Stegostoma tigrinum: one gene and its partners. The protein of the gene in region 1 binds, or shares a complex with, the protein of each later gene. Links are inferred from orthologs where the notes say so. Each region holds a gene or a part of one and is shown on either strand. Other genes may lie near its edges.

The links.
Region 2: voltage-dependent L-type calcium channel subunit alpha-1C-like (region 1) and voltage-dependent calcium channel gamma-1 subunit-like share a complex: the UniProt entries of both Homo sapiens proteins name them as parts of the calcium channel complex. The link is inferred for Stegostoma tigrinum from reciprocal best matches to the Homo sapiens genes CACNA1C and CACNG1.
Region 3: the proteins of voltage-dependent L-type calcium channel subunit alpha-1C-like (region 1) and voltage-dependent calcium channel subunit alpha-2/delta-1 are in contact, whole or in part, in a cryo-EM structure (PDB 8WEA), measured with the Homo sapiens proteins. The link is inferred for Stegostoma tigrinum from reciprocal best matches to the Homo sapiens genes CACNA1C and CACNA2D1. Residues at the interface, in NP_955630.3 of Homo sapiens: Phe147, Pro148, Glu149, Asp150, Asp151, Ser152, Asn153, Ala154, Asn678, Lys1090, Gly1091, Asn1092, Tyr1093, Ile1094, Tyr1096, Gly1099, Val1101, Pro1104, Ile1106, Arg1109, Tyr1156; in NP_001353796.1 of Homo sapiens: Thr170, Asp171, Tyr173, Ile233, Leu235, Gly262, Ser263, Ser265, Lys270, Thr274, Ala327, Lys328, Gly329, Ile330, Glu366, Gln391, His392, Tyr394, Ile416, Gly417.

The regions. Positions count from the first base shown.
Region 1 is NC_081371.1:22,339,635-22,345,565, reverse strand, and holds the start of voltage-dependent L-type calcium channel subunit alpha-1C-like, read right to left. Parts: upstream 4,447-5,931; 5' UTR 4,319-4,446; coding exon 4,174-4,318; intron 1-4,173. UniProt on the Homo sapiens protein: Pore-forming, alpha-1C subunit of the voltage-gated calcium channel that gives rise to L-type calcium currents. Mediates influx of calcium ions into the cytoplasm, and thereby triggers calcium release from the sarcoplasm.
Region 2 is NC_081375.1:9,586,929-9,592,859, forward strand, and holds the start of voltage-dependent calcium channel gamma-1 subunit-like, read left to right. Parts: upstream 1-2,527; 5' UTR 2,528-2,617; coding exon 2,618-2,858; intron 2,859-5,931. UniProt on the Homo sapiens protein: Regulatory subunit of the voltage-gated calcium channel that gives rise to L-type calcium currents in skeletal muscle. Regulates channel inactivation kinetics.
Region 3 is NC_081378.1:27,353,032-27,358,962, reverse strand, and holds the start of voltage-dependent calcium channel subunit alpha-2/delta-1, read left to right. Parts: upstream 1-1,423; 5' UTR 1,424-1,943; coding exon 1,944-2,041; intron 2,042-5,931. UniProt on the Homo sapiens protein: The alpha-2/delta subunit of voltage-dependent calcium channels regulates calcium current density and activation/inactivation kinetics of the calcium channel. Plays an important role in excitation-contraction coupling.

The DNA of each region.
Region 1 (5,931 bases):
TAGGGCCAACTCTAAGGTTCCACAGAACAGGGAGGCATGAACCTGAGAGGCATTCAAATTTTTAGACTGAGCATGCTTAACTTCCTACAATGTGAAAATGAATCTTTCTTTTAAAAAAAATCTCTATCTTCGCTCATTTTTCTTCTGGATAGTATCAGTCATGTCTTAGAAGTTGAGAATAGACTCTGGACTTCTTCCTGTTCAATGGATAAGTCCTGTTCTCGACGAAGCAGTGGGTGCTGGTATCTGAGCAGTATCTAAATAATTCATAGTGATCATGCAGTCAGAAATGTATTTCTATCTCCATATTTTGGCATGTTCGTTGTATCATTTTGTCCTTCCTCAAGTGGTTGTCATTTGATTGCTTTAGTGGAGCCACTTATTTCTCACATTACAGCAGTGTCTATGTTTTCAAAAGATAGTAAATTGGCTGTATCATGCTTTTCATGATTGAAGGATCTTCCAAAGCATGCTGAAAATGCATTTTTAAAAAAATACGCTGTGTACTAAGACAAAGGCTAAGAATTAGATGCATCTGAATTAGAAATAGTTCTAAATGTTTTGGATGTGAACATTGCTGACAGTGCTATTATTTGTTCTGCATTCCTAATCTCCTTTGGAAGGTGGTGGTGAAGTCCAAATAGAGTACATAAGCAGTGTTATGCCTACACTGTGTTGAGGAAAGGAGTTTGAATATTTTGACTTGCTGACTGTGAAGGAATGGGGATGTGTTTCCAAGTCAGAGTGGTGTGTGGCTTGGAGGAGAATTTGTTGCTGGGATTTTCCATGCATCTGCTGCTCTTGCCTGACTAGGTGGTAAATATTGTGCATTAGGAAGGTGTTATTGAAGGAGCCTTGAGAAATTTCTGCAGGGAATCTGGTAAACGGTTTGCACTGTAGGAGCGCAGAGTACATGTTTTGAAGGTGATGCACAATTAAGCAAGTTTCATCCTCCTTGGATGATTTTGAACGTCTTCTGTTTTAGAACTACACTCATTCAGGCATATGGAGAATCTTTCATAATGCTCCTGATGTGAGTTTGTTCATGGTGGGTAGGCTTTATGCAGTCAAGACGTGTTACTTCCCTTAGATTGTGGAATTGCAGTGAGCGCAGGCCCCTTAGACTTTTCCCCTTTTGACCTACATTTCACTTTTTGACATCAGGTTTTATTATGTGTCACCACAGTTGTCATCAATTATTATCACTACTACACGGTAATGGAGTGGCCACAAATTGAGAAAACATTACCTAGGGTTACCCATAAATTGCAAATAATGGAAAGGTGCTTTGTATTCATGCCCTCTTCTACAAGATGCTGCTATTTTTCATCTGAAGGTGAGGTAGCTTACTGTATTGTAACTACATCTGACTGAGATGCCTATGGTTCCTATCATCTTGGAGGTGTCCATGGTATTTTCTCCAAAGGCAGTTGCACCTGGAACATAATTCCAGGCATGCAGTTCCACCTGGTTCTGCCCCAATGACTTTTTGGTCATCAGAATAACTGAATCAATGCTATGGATCTGATGTTTGGATAATCAACTTATTTGGGCATGTTGCGATCTATTCCCTGGCACATTGGACTTGAACTGGGATTTCCTAACTTGAACGTAGGGCGCTACCACTGCACCAGAAGTTCCTTGCAACATCATTTTTTTTATTTATTGTGTTTTAAGCCAATTGAACAATTTTTTGAGCCCAAAAAACCAACAAAATCTGATGTTCTAACAACTGAGCTAACCTGGTTGCTGTTAAATATGAGGTTGCTAATTGTCACGGTACAGATGTCCAGCTTACCCAATTCAAAGGTCAATGGTGGAGATGGTAGTTACAACAGTAGTAGTTGTGGAATTAGCATTTGCAAGGTAATAAAGAAGCCAATAATTAAACAAAACTCTGCTGATGGCCAGACATTGCTCATTTAATTTACTTTTGTAACTGAACCCATACTGAGAAGAAGTACTAGTTGAAATTTCACAGAGTGCCGAATTTGCATTTTTATTATTGAGGAAACTGATCTTTTTTAAACCAGGTCCATTTGTGTTCTTTGAACCATATAGAATAAGATGTGAGCACCAGCTAATGTGAATGGCATCCATAATAATGAATATTAGTGAGGACAGTTTGCATAGGTGAATTTGATTCCTGCACAATGCTCACGTGGAACATTTATTGTGCAAATATAGCATTTACTTCTTCATTGAAGGCCAGAACAAGCAGACAAGTGGCTGATGGAACTTAATAGAGACTGTGATTACAGTACTTGTTTTTCAGATGGGATGAAGATCGGGGTGAACTGAACTGTCATTTTCTGCTGTCGGAATATTGCCACATGCTGCTAGTGTTTATTTTTTGATTAGTAGCCATCTAGTTAAAGTCAGGATGGTGGGCGCAAGGTTCTAGAGGGTGGTCACAGCTGTTAGAACTGGATTTTAGTGACAGAAATGGTTTTCTTCAGATGGGGACGGAGAACAGACAAAGGTGATAAATCGATTCAATCGATATTGTTCCCTACCTAGCGAACAGGTATATTGAAGAAATCTGTATAACGGTCTTCAATTTTTGTAACTTCATGAGAATTTAAGGTTGTGGCTTAGTGGTAGCTCCCTTGCTTCGGAGTCAAAGATTGTGGCTCAAGTCCTATATAGAGATTTGAGCATTCAAATTAGCAGCTCAATGCAGTATTGAGGAGGTGTTGTGTGTGCAGTCTTTTGATGTGACTGTATATTGAGGCCCCAACTCTGTGTATTTGCAAACAAGTTCTCATAGTTCTATTTGAATTAGAGTTTCAAAGTTCTTGTGTCTCTGTCATTGTGTTTAGGCTTTTGAAGTAAGTTTAAATAAGATAATCTAATCATGGAATCCTTTGCTGAATAGCTTCATATTTCTTGCATTATAGTGACTACATTTCAAAGGTAATTAATTCGCTGTAGGTTACTTTGCAACACTGAGGTTTTGGTGCTGACACGTAATGTTTTAATTGTACTGATTAAATTTTTGTTATCATTCTAAATTACTTTAAAATAATGCATGCATAAAATGAAGCCACTATATATAGTTGCAAATGATTCATTTCTTAAACAAATTTTATCTACATGGCATAGAATTCTTACAGCGTGGAAACAGGCCGTTTGGCCCAACAAGTCCACACCAACCCTTGGAGCATCCCACCCAGACCCATCCCCCAAAAACGCACACACCGCTGTACAGGCTAGGTGGATTGGCATGGCCAATCCACCTCACCTGTACATGTTAGGACTGTGGGAGGAAACCGGAGCACCCAGAGGAAACCCACACAGACACGGGCAGAATGTGCAAACTCTGTGCAGATGGTCGCCCAAGGTTGGATTTGAACCTGGGTCCCTGGCACTGTGAGGCTGCAGTGCTAACCACTGAGCCACTGTGCTGCCCCATATATTAAACAAAGACTGTGAAGAATTTTAGAAGTGCAATTTAAATAACCTGATGAATTTCTGTTATAGTGCATTATGAAATTAATGTTTTGCTTGCATCATAAAAAATTGTGACCCCTGTTGAATAGCAAATAAAAACTGAAAGAACTGCAGATGGCTGTAAATCAAGAACAAAAACAGTTCTGAGGAAGGGTCACCAGACCCGAAACATTAACTCTGATTATTCTTCTTCAGAGATGCTGCCCGATCTCCTGAGGTTTTCCAGAAACTTCTGTTAAATCGTAGTTTGCTAAACAAATTTTTATGTTGCTTTGCAATAATGTATCAGGTATTCAAAGACTTGTTTTTTTATCAGGAAATTAGAGATGAATTTGGTATGTTTACAGCATTTCAGTAACTGAGGAAAAACACAAACTGCCAAGGTTACTATAAATTTCATAGTATTTTGGCAAATATAGTTTTTTGCACGTTTATTCTTTTAATTTTAAACATTACTTTTATGTTTATATTTGCAAAATTATTACAATTGTGATATCTGTCTGTTATTGATAAATTAAGACCGGGAAATATCAGTATTTAGGTATTTGTAAAGGTTGGTAATATAAATTTGATCACATTTGATGGGAGAGAAATGCAATTAAGACATCATCTTCTAATTTTGGATCCAAATCTAAAGTGCAGTTATTAAAACAACTTTTTTCTAAAATATTGTTTTAAACTGTTATCGTTTACATGGGCAAAGACATGAGAAAATCCTACCTCCAGGACAAGTGTAGAAGCAATTCAGCTGTGTCTCCTTCACAATTATGCCTTTGTACTTGATATCCATTGCTTGTGTTGGTTGTTTGGACAACTGTTTGGAGGCTTTCTGATGAAGAACTGATGGAAGCATTTTGCCTTCCATGGCAATAACACAATGTTCATTAAAAATACCTTTTGTTTTGCTGAATTCTCTGAAATCAATCTCTGAAAGTATGAGTTATTTCTTAGGTTCTGCCCATTGAAGCACAGATGAGGGGAGAATGCTTATTGTTTCTGTGTTACATTCAAAAGTGAGAGATGAAGGAGGACGGTGACTTTATATGTTGACTTCCTCCACTCTAAGGAGTTAAATTGTGGCATGCGTTTCTGCATCAGTGCTGACGTTTTGATATAGGGCCTTCATCTCATTAAGAGGAAACAAAGATAAAAAGTTTCAGCAATGCTCCAATTACAAGTCAGTTAAGATTATAAAATTCTCCCAAGAATTTGTCATGATCTTATAATGAACTTTCAAAACATTCTCTACATTTTTAACCCAGCTGTGTGTGGGAGCAGGTAGCGAGAGAAAAGAGAAAAGAAATGCACATTTGAAGCAAGTATTACTGATTAATACATCTTCTCGAGCCTCATAAAACAAAAATTACTAAAACATTTTTCATACTGAGGGAAGTGTGGGAAAATTAGGTATCAAGTTGGTATTATGTGTAGCATTGGTATAAGTTTATAGACCATATTTTAAACTGTGTTCATTTTAACAGAATAGTACAAAGTGTTCTTTGCATTCTGTTTGGGTTAATGCCATAAATCAGTTATTTGTTATAGCCAGATGAAATTGAGATTTTTTTTCTTTAAATGTCATGGCAATCAGGCTCGTTAATCGCTCTCCTATCAGCATCATAAGGTTGTGGGTATTCGAGGTTTGACATTCAGCTGCTCATTAAAAGAGCACGATTGATTGCTATTGACCAGTTAAGATTATAAAATTTTATAATCACTAGTAAGAAGGAACTTCAGCACCTACACTGACATGCAGTGGTATTGCCATCACTGAGCCAGCAGCATCAACTTCTTAATTAGAAACTGACTTGGACCAGCCACCCGCACAATGACCACTGGAAATCAGAAGCTGGATATTCTGTCAGAAATCACACGACACCAGGTTAAAGTCCAACAGGCTTATTTGAAATCACAAGCTTTTGGAGTGCAGCTACTTCGACAGGTGAAGTGACAGAGAAATACATAATGCAAAATTTATGAGCAGAAAGATCAAAAGATCAAACAAATGGTTGGGTGGAGTGTTGAATAATAAGTCTCTGCAGGTAATTGCAAGTGTTAGACTGTTTGAGTGAAGTGTCAGCAGCTGAATAACAAGCAAAGGGATTACCTATAATCCGATTAAATGAAGCAGAGAGATAATTACAAAAAATTAAAAATAAAGTGGTGCTGGTGACAAACCAAGTCATTGGAATAACACAACAGGTATAAGAGCTGCACACCAAGTGTCTTACCAAAGTAATAAGTCATCCAAAACTGTATAAACTAATTGAGAGGCCATAACAATTTATCCAGGTGATGGTGTCAAAACAGGAAGATGTTACAGATACAGTCAGTGCTGGGGGTCCAGTATAGCGTGACATAAATCCAAGATCATGTTTAAGGCTGCCTTTGTGGGTATGGAAGTTGACTATCAGTTTCTACTTGGCAGTTCTGCATTGTTGTGTATCTTGAAGGTCGCCTTGGAGGACACCTTAACTG
Region 2 (5,931 bases), on another chromosome or scaffold:
ACAAGATACCAATTGACTGCCTCAGGCCAAGAGTGGGCGTCACGGAGCTGGATAATAAGACAGAAATGGGGGTGGGGGTGGCCGGGAATCCCAAAGAACTGCGGATGCTGGAAATCAGAAATTGCTGGAAAAACTCAGCAGGTCAGGCAGCATCAGAACTTTTCTGAAGAAGGGTCACTAGGACGAAAACTCTTTTATTTCCCCTCTCCACAGGATACTGCCTGATTTGCCGAGTTTTTATCTTGCCCCCACTCATTTCTGATTTTGATGCTAAGGAAGGAATCTCGAAAGAGCTTTCTCGGAAAATTCCTAGAGTTTCCAGTGTTACTTAACGCATGATGGTGATGCTGAGAATCGGTGCGTGTGAGAGTTGGCGCAGTGTGAAGGTTCACTGATAGTCTGGTAGTTGCTCGAGTGGGACGACAACACAAGGAACACACATTAGCCAAACCATCAGGGGTGGGAGCAAAGTCCATCACAGTGCATTTCCTCGCAGCAGGGTTTGAGTGACAGGCCAAGAGCAAAGTTAGCTTAACATGGTCAGATAGATTTAAGCGACTCTTGGATAGGCACAAGGAGGATAGTAAAATGTAGGGTTGTTGCGGAGTAATTTTATCTTAGAGTAGGATAATAGGTCGGCACATCATCATGGGCCGAAGGGCCTGTGCTGTTACTGTTCTATGTTCATGACCCGCAAGCTCATCACTTACTCCCTTACACTGGAAGGTTTTGTTTGGATTCTGTCAGCACTGGGGAGTCTGTGGAACCAGGAGTGCACGCTGTTCCCCTTTTTAATTGCAGCCTCCTCTGGGAAGAGACCGCAGGTCCATTGGGGTTTGCGGGATGGAGGGGGGGGGGGGGGGGGGGGGGAGACAGACAATGAGAATGAGACTTGGCCAAAAAACCAGCGCCACTCCTCGGCCCTCCAGGGACCGAGTCTGAAACTCCTGCCCAGCTCAGGGTTGCGCTTATTCCCGGATCATGTCCTCTCGGGGCCCACAGCCTCTGAATGAATGAAAGCCCCAGCACTCCCTATACCCTGTCCCCTCCGGGGTACCCGCTGGCAACAGTCTCACAGCTTGGCACTCTTACAAGCCCTAACCACCTTCCCCCCTTTCTGGCTGGGCTGGTCAGCAGTTGACACAGCTCGGTGCTGACTGTAGGGAGACGCGGTGTAGAGTAAAAGATAACAGGAACTGCAGATTGCTGGAGAATCCTAGATAACAAGGTGTAGAGCTGGAAGTTGCTGCTTGGCCTGCTGTGTACATCCAGCTCCACACGGAGCTGTTATCTCGGATTCTCCAGCATCTGCAGTTCCTACTATCTCCGATACCATTTTAACTTCACTGCGAAGCCTCTTCTCAGGATGCCTAACCTGAAGACGTTACCCTCCTCCCTCCGGACAAACCTCAGAGGATCTCTCTCCCACTGCAACCTATCTCTTGCCTACCTCCCCACCAACACTCACCTCTACTGGGTCCAACCCCGCCTCTTTAACTTGTCTGTCTCCTCCTAAGGGCCTGAACTGTGCTGTACTGTTCTATGTAATCCCCTGATCCATGTTATCGCTGAGTTCTTTTCAGAGCTTCTGACCTATCCCCTCCCTACCTCCCCACCTATACCCTCCTTTCCACCTATCTTCTCGTCTATCCATCTTCTATCCGCCTCCCCCTCTCTCCCTATTTATTTCAGAACCCCCTTCCCTCCCCCATTTCTGAAGAAGTGTCTAGGCCCGAAACGTCAGCTTTCCTGCTCCTAAGATGCTGCTTGGCCCAGTGTAGAATAAAGCGGGTCGGGTGGGGTGGGGGGAGAGCGGGGTGGTGTGGGCTCCTTTGGTGCATGGTAGTGACCCTAGTTCTGAGCTAGAGGAACCCGGGTTCAAGTCCCACCAGGTCCACAGGTGTGTCTCAACGTCCCTCAACAAGCTGGCGAGGAAAGCTCCACAATAAGGCGAGTGTGGGTCCGACATTCAGAGTGGGACCTGCCTGAAACTGTCCCAGACTGAATGACGAGGAGACTGGGCAGAGATCTCCTCTCCCCCAGATAGCACTGCGATTCTTGTTCCTCTCCGTGGAGACCTCGGCCACCTGACTCCCAGACCAGCGGTCGCCTTCAAATCTGACAGTTCCTTGAATGTGGAACTGTGATATAAATATACACACGGCAGCGCCCGGCCGGGAACAGCTCCTAATAGAAAGCTATTCAACGCCGGGCCAATTCACTCACAAGTTTGGGGGCCAGTGTGCGTGTGAGGGGGTGGGGAGGCGTGTCACACGAGGGGCGCAGAGGAGGCTCCCGACAAACCCTCAGCAAGCATCCCATATACTAACCTCCCACCCCAACCCCGCCATTCCTGAAGGTTACAATCGTCCCGGAATGGAATTACATCCCCCCCCGGGGTAGAATGGCTCACGCGTCGGTCTCTGTCAACCTGAGGCTCCCATATACAGAGAGCAGCAACTGGGCAGTGCCAAGGCCAGTCTAGAGTGCATTGGCCAGCCACCAGACGCCCACCCCCCCCCCCCAACCTCCCCGAAACCAGCCCCGGGGGTTCGGGGAGCGGTCAGTCAGTGCAGGTGCTGAGAGCACCAGCACCTTCCTGCTCTTCCGCAGCACTATGGAGGAGGGTAAAGCAAGCAAGATAAAACTCACCTTCTGTGTGATCGCGGTGGGTATCATCCTGGCGATTGTGGCGGTCAGCACCGACCACTGGGCAGGGCTCAGCCCCCGGCTGGAGAGAACCAACTCCACTTGCGAGGAGGCTCACTTCGGCCTCTGGAAACTGTGCACGAAGAGGGTCTTTGTCCGGAGTGTGGACCCGGACGGGAAGGGCTGTGGGAATGCCGACCTGCCAGGAGGTAAGAGAGAGAGCTGTCCTCAGGCACACTCCAGGTCTGAGGCAGGAACTCAGCGGGCTGCAGCTACCTCTCTGTCTGAAAAGAATTCATTCTGAACTTCTCTCCAAATTTACCGCGGTCAGTTGGCCAGCACTTGAGTTGAGCAGAAATTACAACATAAAGGGATTCTTATTGTGTATGTCTTCATACAGTGTCACTACAGCCCCTGGTTGTGTGAACGGTAATAGGTGGGTATACACTGTCCTTTATGCCGCTTTTAATTCACTCCTGGGACATCAGTGCCACATTTATTTGCCCGTTCCTAGTTGTTCCTTTAGAATGTTGTCTTCTTGAACCATTGTAGTCTATGTGCTGTAAACCCACAATGCCATTAGGGAGGGAATTCATAGTGAGTAAGTATTCCCCAGGACAGGGAAGTCCAGATCCAGGCCTCACAGTCTAAGGATCCTGGTTAGATAAAAAGATAAAAAGATCTTCACCCAGAGAGAGTGGTAAGCCTATCGATTCACTGTCACAGAAAACTGGCCAAAACATCGTACGATTTTAAGAAGGAATTGGCTATAGCAATTGGAGCTGAAGCGGTCAAATGATATGTGCAGAAAGCAGGAGCAGACTGATGATCAGTCACAGAGTCATACAACACAGAAACAGGCCCTTCGGCCCAACCTGTGCATACTGACCAGGTCTTCCTGAACTGAACTAGTTCCATTTTCATGCTTTGGGCCCATATCGCTCTAAACCTTCTCCTATTCACGTCACTGTTCGATTTTTTTTAAAAAAATGTAATTATACCAGCCTCTAACACCTCCTCTGGCGGCTCGTTCCGTACATGCACCGCCCTCTGCGTGAAAAAGTTGCCCATCAGGTCCCTTTGAAATCTTTCCACTTTCACAGTAAACCCCTAGTTTTGGAGCCTCCTACTCTCAGTAGAAAGACGTTGATTACTGACCTTATTCATGCCCCCTCATGATTTTATAAGCCTCTATAAGGTCAACTCCCAGCCTGCTACTGAGAAATAGTCCCAGCCTATCCAGCCTCTCCTTATAAGTCATGATCTTAATGAATGGCAGAGCAGGCTCGAGGGTCCGACTCCCGCTCCACGTAGAGACATTAAGAACTGCCGCTGCTGGAGTCTGAGATAACAAGGTGTGGAGCTGAAGGAACACAGCAGGCCAGGCAGCATCAGAGGAGCAGGAAAGTTGGCGTTTCGGGTCGGGACCCTGCTTCTTCAGCTCCAGTTCTACACTATTACATGGGTGACAGTGAAATAAATGCAGGATAGTTTGATCTTAGAGTAGGATAATAGGTCAGCACTAAGGGCCTGTATTGATCTATGTTATCTCCTGCTCCATGTTATCTGTGTTTGTCTCTGTATCAACTCCCATGTGCCTTCATAGTGTATTAGCAACGGACTCAATCTTCACCAATCTGCAACGGAGCAGGCCCAATAGAGACGGGACCCAGCAGGTTCATGTCCAGGCCAGCTCCTCTCCGTCCATTGAATGGTACAATTAAAAAACAAAGGCTGAGTTCTTTTCAGAGCTTCCGACCTATCCCCTCCCGACCTCCCCACCAATACTCCCCTCTCCACCTATCTTCTCCTCTACTCGACCCGCCTCCCCCTCTCTCCCTATTTATTCCAGTTCCCTCTCCCCATCTCCCTCTCTGATGAAGGGTCTAGGCCCGAAACCGTCAGCTTTTGAGCTCCTCTGACGCTGCTTGGCCTGCTGTGTTCATCCAGCCCCACACTTTGTTGCCTCCAAGAGTGCAGGGAGCCGGGAACGCTGTATGCCAGCGAGCAGCCTGGGAACGGGGCGAGAGTTGAGTATTGGACACAAGCTCGAGTTCGGCTGAGAACATTGCCCGTGGCTTTTTAAAACAGAAAATCTTCAGCATCGGCGGGAATGTTTAGACCCTGTAATCAACGTGATGGTGAGAGTAGCCAGGCAGATCCCTCCGGCTGCACTAACCCCTTAAAAAAGAATTTTAGACTAAGCTGCCGCTCACTGCAAACACGCCTGGAACAGGTGCTGGAGTGTAAAGGTATCCGAGCGGTCCCGGAGTTAAATATACCATCAACAGAATTCCAGCCTCTCGCTCACTTTAACACAAGCATCTTGTCTCTGGGTTTATCAAGCATATCCTTCAGCATCATCGGCTCTCTGATAATTCACCAGGTATTTAGGGGTGAAGCAAGCTTCCAGTCAGCACCATGTCAGTGACAATATGTAATTATTACTTCAAGGTCTCTGTCTCTACAGCTTCATCTGAAATCCTGTGCAGCATAATAACTTCCTGGTAGCAGCCCGGAATATACAGTTCATTAAGAGTTTAACAGACATGTCGCTTTCTGCTCTTCGCTTGGTTGGACCGTGTCGTCGGTATTTCATAGGCTCATAGAACGCCTTCAGTGTGGAAACAGGCCCTTCGGCCCAACAAGTCCAAGTTGACCCTTGGAGCATCCCAGCAGATCCAGCCCCCTTTAACCCACCTAATTTACACATCCCTGTATACTACAGGCAATTTAGCATGGCCAATCCAAATAGCCTGCACATCTTTGGACTGTGGGAGGACACCCACGCAGACACGGGGAGAATGTGCAAACTCCACACAGACAGTCGCCCGGGTCCCCGGCGCTGTGAGGCTGCAGTGCCAATCACTGAGCCACCGTAACCAAGCCCCCTTTCAGAGAAATGATGAGGGGCATGGATAGGGTGAAGAGTCAAAGTCTTTTCCCCAGGGCAGGGGAATCCAAAACTAGAGAGGTGTGGGTTGAAGATGAGAGGGGAAAGATTTAAAAGGGACCTGAGGGGTAACTTTTTCCACGCAGAGGGTGATGCGTGTATGCAATGAGCTGCCAAAGGAAGTGGTACAGGCTGGCACAATTACAACATTTAAAAGCCATCTGGATGGGAAGGGTTCAGAGGGATATGGGCCAAATGCTGGAAAATGGGACCAGATTTGTTTAGGATATCTGGTGGGCATAGATGAGTCAGGCTGAAGGGTCCTGTTTCTGTGTTGTACATCTCTGTGACTCCATGACTGTGTGTTATCACACACCTCTGGAACAGCT
Region 3 (5,931 bases), on another chromosome or scaffold:
CATCATGGGTCAAAATCCTGGAATTCATTCCCAAAAGGCATTGTGGGTCTGTCAACAGCACATGGACTCAGTGGTTCACCACCACCTTCTCAAGGGTTATTAGCAATAACGGCTGGCCAGCCAGCAATGCCAACATCCTCTGGATGAATAAGAATAATAATTGTCATTCCTTTACTGCCAAGGCAACAAAGTCGACATGGACTTACTGGTTCATGAACATGGCTCCATACCACCTTCCCAGCGGTAATTAGGGACAGGCAATAGATACTGTCCATCACTCAGATCACCTAAAAGGACTAAAATAAATGAATCAGGGCAGAAATTTCCAACCTTTTAAAAGGGCTGAGTGGTTTAATATCCTGGTGTGAAGAAAGGGATGAATCCCATTAAGCATTGTAAAAATAGTATTTATGGTTTTAATGAAAATCAAGACTTTAAAATTTTAAAAAATATTTGTTTTACATTTGGTCACTATTGATGATGTGAATGAACAAATGCTTCCTTTTTTTTAACTTAGTCCATGTCTGCACTAGACAAAATGCTCAAGGAATATCATACAAATCTATTTAGGTGCCTTTACGGCTATCACCAACAGTAATTTCTCGATAATGGTCGGTGCTCCTGCATTCTCACGATGGAGCCAGAAGTTTCAGCCAAAATTACATGCAGACCTGGGGCGGGCTGCAGCCGTCCTAACAGTGATAGAAACCAGGGCACTTTAAAAGATACAAAAAAACATAGAAATTGCTGGTAAAGCTCAACAGAACTGGAAACATCCGTAGAGAGAAATCAGAGTTAACGTTTCGGGTCTGAGTTCTGAAGAATGGTCACCAGACTTGAAATGTTAATTGATTTCTCTCCACAGATGCAGTCAGACCTACCAAGCTTTTCCAGCAATTTCTGTTTTTATTTCTGATTTCTAGTATCTGCAGTTCTTTATCGGTTTTAATTCACTTTAGACATTTGTCTCTGCCAGGGCACATATCAGTAGGTTTCGGCTTTTCATCCATTCGACTGTAGCAAAACTCAGTTTTTAATTTCTAATTAATTAATCATAACACAAGGTCTTCGAAATGTGCAATATATGGAAGGGATATTTGCTTAGAAAGCTCCATTCTTACAGGAACTGCGTCTCCAAAATGGGCTTTTATCTTAACTAGAACTTAGTCATACGCAAAAATGAACCCCTGGAAAAAAAGACATTGATTTTAGTTCCAGCAACATTATAGAACAGAACAGCTGGCCTCAAGGTTCAAAACACACTTCAGGGTTGACGTTTCGAGAAAGTGGGTGATGGTGCTCTACACATTTTGATCTATAGACTGTAATTTTGAGTGCTTTTTTATGTTTTTACAACACGCGTTTCAAAAGAGAAAGTCATAGCGCTAGTGAAGAACCCGCCTTGTGAATGTTTTAAAAGCGTCACCTCAGCACGCAGCACCTCGCTTTAACAGCGTCGATATAAACCAGGGTTAGACTGCGATGTTTGTGTGACAGGCGATCAGCCGCTGGCTCTACGAGAGGAGACTGAGAGTGTGTGTCTGTGTGTATTTGTGGTATTCCTTGTATGGAAACTAGTCCGGGCTCGAGGGGGAGCGAAGGGGATTGATGAGACTGGTTTCACAGGGCAATTGGAGGAGGGGACTGAGAGTCCAGGACAGTGACGATCACCAGCAGTTTGCACAGCCCCAGGATATATCCCAAACCAAGAAAAAAAACAAAAACAAAACTAAGCTGCTTGGAGATGGAACCCGGGCTGATGGCGGCTCTTCAGATCAGCCGCTAAATGTTATAGTTTGGGATTATTAGAATTTGTTGCTGTTGTGAACCTATTCTTGGAATCTCATCTTCCTGACATTAACTTGGGACAGGCAGATTTATTTTTATTCTGCATTTATTTATTTTCCCTTCCACTTTGTTTTAAAATACATTCACGGTGGAAGATGGCTGCTTGCAGGAGCTCACTCTGTCTAATAGCAGTTATACAGTTGTGCCTGATGCTATCTTGTACATCGCAAGAAAGCTTTCCTCAAGCTAACGAGTAAGTAACAATAACCCGGTTTGCTGCTTGTCCTTGTTGTAACTGTGTGTGCACTGCCCAGTGCTTCTGACTGTGGCCTCTATGCTTGCCAATACGAAGTGTTACACTGTATCTCACAGCGCATCTCTGATCAAACAGATCGCTGTAGAGAGGGGGAACAGAATCTTCCGATGCATTTGCGATCTGGCTAACCGATTACTGATTCAGAGAAGTGTTACCACAACTAAACATTTTCTTGTGCTTGATCTCTCGCCCTCTCTCGACTTCCAGCCCTCTGTTGAACAAAAAAAAAGCAGACCCCTAAAAGTTTATAGTTTGTGAGCACCTATTTAGGCTAAAACGATGGTAATATGTGAATTAGAAAAGGCTGCCATGTTTAATTGGAAATGGGGAGGGGGGGTGGATTGCTGTATTCTCCATTCTGAATTCGGGCAATCACATTGTTCCAATAAACTTGTTGCCAAAGTTAATATAAAGTAAGGCATTTGGGGAATTGCATGGGAACGTTTGGCTTGACTGCTGTCACTGGACCGATGCCGTCAGTTCTTAAAGGAGCCACTACCTTATTCACCAAGAGGTGTTTGACACGTTTTCCTTTGTTTATAAACACAAGGTACAATTATATACTTGCTGCGTCACATGCATGTGATGTTAACGTGCGGTAATAACATTTACAGTCTCCCCCCTCTCCTCCTCTTCACACTGTCCACCCCTCACACCATCCCAAAAGCCAACAAGAAAGTGAAAGAACTTGCAGGACCGGAGTTCTATTAACCAGAATTATAGAAATCCTTGAGGTTTTTTTTAACATGCAATCATTTTCCTGTTTTATTGTTGGTTAGAATAGAATATTTTCAACATTGTTGAAGGAGGAATATTATATTTCTCCCCTCCTCTCCCAGAAGACAAAAGCAGTTCTTTTCATAATCGGTATTTAGTTCATTAAGGTACTGCAGTTAACCCTTTGGGCAATGAAACAGCAGAAACAACCCCCAGGCTTTAATTCTAAGGAGTGGTTCTCCAGTGGAGCAGGTTTATGCTTGAATGTAATGCTGTAACAGGGGCTATGCTGGTTTGGCATGTGACATCTTCCCTACAGTATTGACAGTTCCAGCAGGCTATTTACTTTTAAGAACACAAATTTTGTGCTGCACTTTAGTTGCACGTGGAGACATACATTTCTCAGGCATCTTTGGCACCAAAAAAATCATTTTGATGAGCAAAAAGTAAAATATTGTGTTGGTAGCACTGTGAACCATCTCATTCCACCGCTGAAAGAAACTTCGGACCAGGTGTTTTCTGCTTGAAAGCTATGTGGTATAACTTATTTCTTGGGGTTGTTGCAGAATTAAGTAATTGAACAAAACATGCCTTAAATTGTGAATGATTAAAATGATGAATTTGGTCCATATTTTCTTTATTTGGTCATGGGACATTGTCATCATTCATTGTCAGAGGGCCATTACAAGACAGCCACATTTCTGTAGTACTGTAGTGAAATGTAGGCCAGGCTAGATAAGGATAGCAGATTTCTATTTTTGAACCAGATTTTAAAAAAATTACAGCAGTTGACAAATTTTACATGTTCACCATTACACTTGGTTTTCTCTAATTCCAGATAATTATTGAATTCAGATTTCACCATTTGCCACTGTGACATTTGACCCCAGAACATTAACATTAAACTAATGGTGTTACCACCATGCTACCACCTCCTCCTCCTGATTGTGTGGAATGGTTAAAATAGTTGTATTCCAGACCATAAGGATTGTCTGCTGGTTTCTGCTTGTAAATATAGAAGACAGTGACAATTTCTAGTTTAATTTTGCTGGATTTGATATAATTGTACACAATTGATTTATTTACAACAGTTATATTAATTCCAGTGTGATTGTTCCATTTGATTCAGCAGGTGCAGATTTGTAGAAAGCCTTTCTACATTTTTCCCATTATGAAACATACTCTGCTTCCCTAATTAGTTCACCAGGATAGCTGGCGACCTGTTCTTAGGCTTTTGCTACTTGGGCCCTTACAGTGAACCACTAGGAGGTGTGTGAGAGCAATGCTTGTTGATTCCCTCTGTGCTCTGTGATTTCATTTTGTATGGCAGGACTGATAAAGGCCTGGTGAACAATTACCTGCTCTTCCTCTTGACCATAGATGGCACAGATGTGGCGTTAGAAGGTCAAGGAACAAAATGCAATTTAAATATTTTCATCCTTCGCAGACATGAAAGACAACAAAATTTGTTACTTTTTTGGCTGTTCTTTTAAATCTGGTGGGAACACTACTGTAAAGTCAGTATAAGTAAACCGAGCATATGCAATACATGACTGCCCCACAGCAATGAATTTGGAGTGGGCTTTGAAAGCTGGCTTTGAGACAATAATTTGTATATTTGCAACATCAAATGCTTCAGGCAAGGGCCTTGGAGACTTGACAGTAGCTAACTTCCAGTTTGACACAAGTGGCATATTTCAGGGGCATCAGATGAAAAAGTGCCAAGTAAACCTTGCTCAAAGCAAAAGCCAGTTTCTGTCCCATTAAATTAAGCAGTTTTTCTGAAAAAAGTATTTAAAGGGTTAACATTCTATGTTAAAGAAAGCCTTCAGTGACAGCTGCTTGCCACATGCTGTGCTTAAGTTATCTCAGTACAGTCTTTGGCTTATTATTTACAGGAGGATTGATTGGTTGTTTCCACATGAAATTGTATAAACTTTGACAGTGTGAATGTAAAGAGAGTGTTTGTAGCTAACCACAGATGTTGTGCATTACTAATGCTTGTAGGAATGGGGCCATCACTCTGTCCCTGCTAATTTGCTGCGGTATATTTTTAAACCTGTTAGCTAGCACTGGTGTACAGATCTGTTTTTTAGGAATGAGATCTTCTGCCATTTCTGAGTTGCCTAATTATAGAAGTAGAGAAGTCATCAGCTGGTCTCAACAATCAATGGCGCTGTCTGTTAACCCATTAAGTAGTATAGCAGGTCACCTTTCCAGTCCATTACGTATGTGTGAAATAAATTTGAATGTACATTTAAAGCATTGTTTCTTTTGATACCATGCTATTTTAAAAACTTGTCAAAATTTTCATCTTGTATAGTTTCACTGCAACAACTGAGGGAGTTGTAATGTATTAGAGGTAGGTGTGTATGAATTAAAGATACACGACTAATTAAAAGATAACAGGGAAATGCACTGTGGATTCTTACTATAAATCATCAATAGTTTCAGTATTTAAAGCCATGAACTTTCTACTAGGAGGTATTGCAGAAGATAAATCTGTGCCAAAAGGAAAGTTTTAGGAAAGACTAAATGTTACGTGTAACTATTTCAAAACTAGAAAGTTAACCAAAATAATTTATTTCAAGTTTTGAGAGGAGATAATGGGAACTGCAGATGCTGGAGAATTCAAGATAACAAAGTGTGGGGCTGGATGAACACAGCAGGCCAAGCAGCATCTTAGGAGCACAAAAGCTGACGTTTTGGAGAAGGGTCTAGGCCTGAAATGTCAGTTTTTGTGCTCCTGAGATGCTGCTTGGCCTGCTGTGTTCATCCAGCCCCACACTTTGTTATCTCTATTTCACGTTTTGTTTTGTTTATTTTTAACTTTTGATGATACTGATTAAGGCAAATTTTAGGTTTGAGGTTGTATGGCATAGCTGATCGGAAACTGTTCGGTTATATTTGTGGTCACAACAATTAAAGCAAAACTTGCTTTGTAGAAAGCCTTAAAACAAAACTATTTTCAGATCTCAACCTGATTACTCTCCAAGACTATTGGACTCAGGCACTTCCCTGATTTCATGACTGGTGGCTGTGCCTTTACCCGTCTAGGATCTAAGCACTGGAATTCTCTCTCAATCTCACTTTTCTCTGACTATCTGATC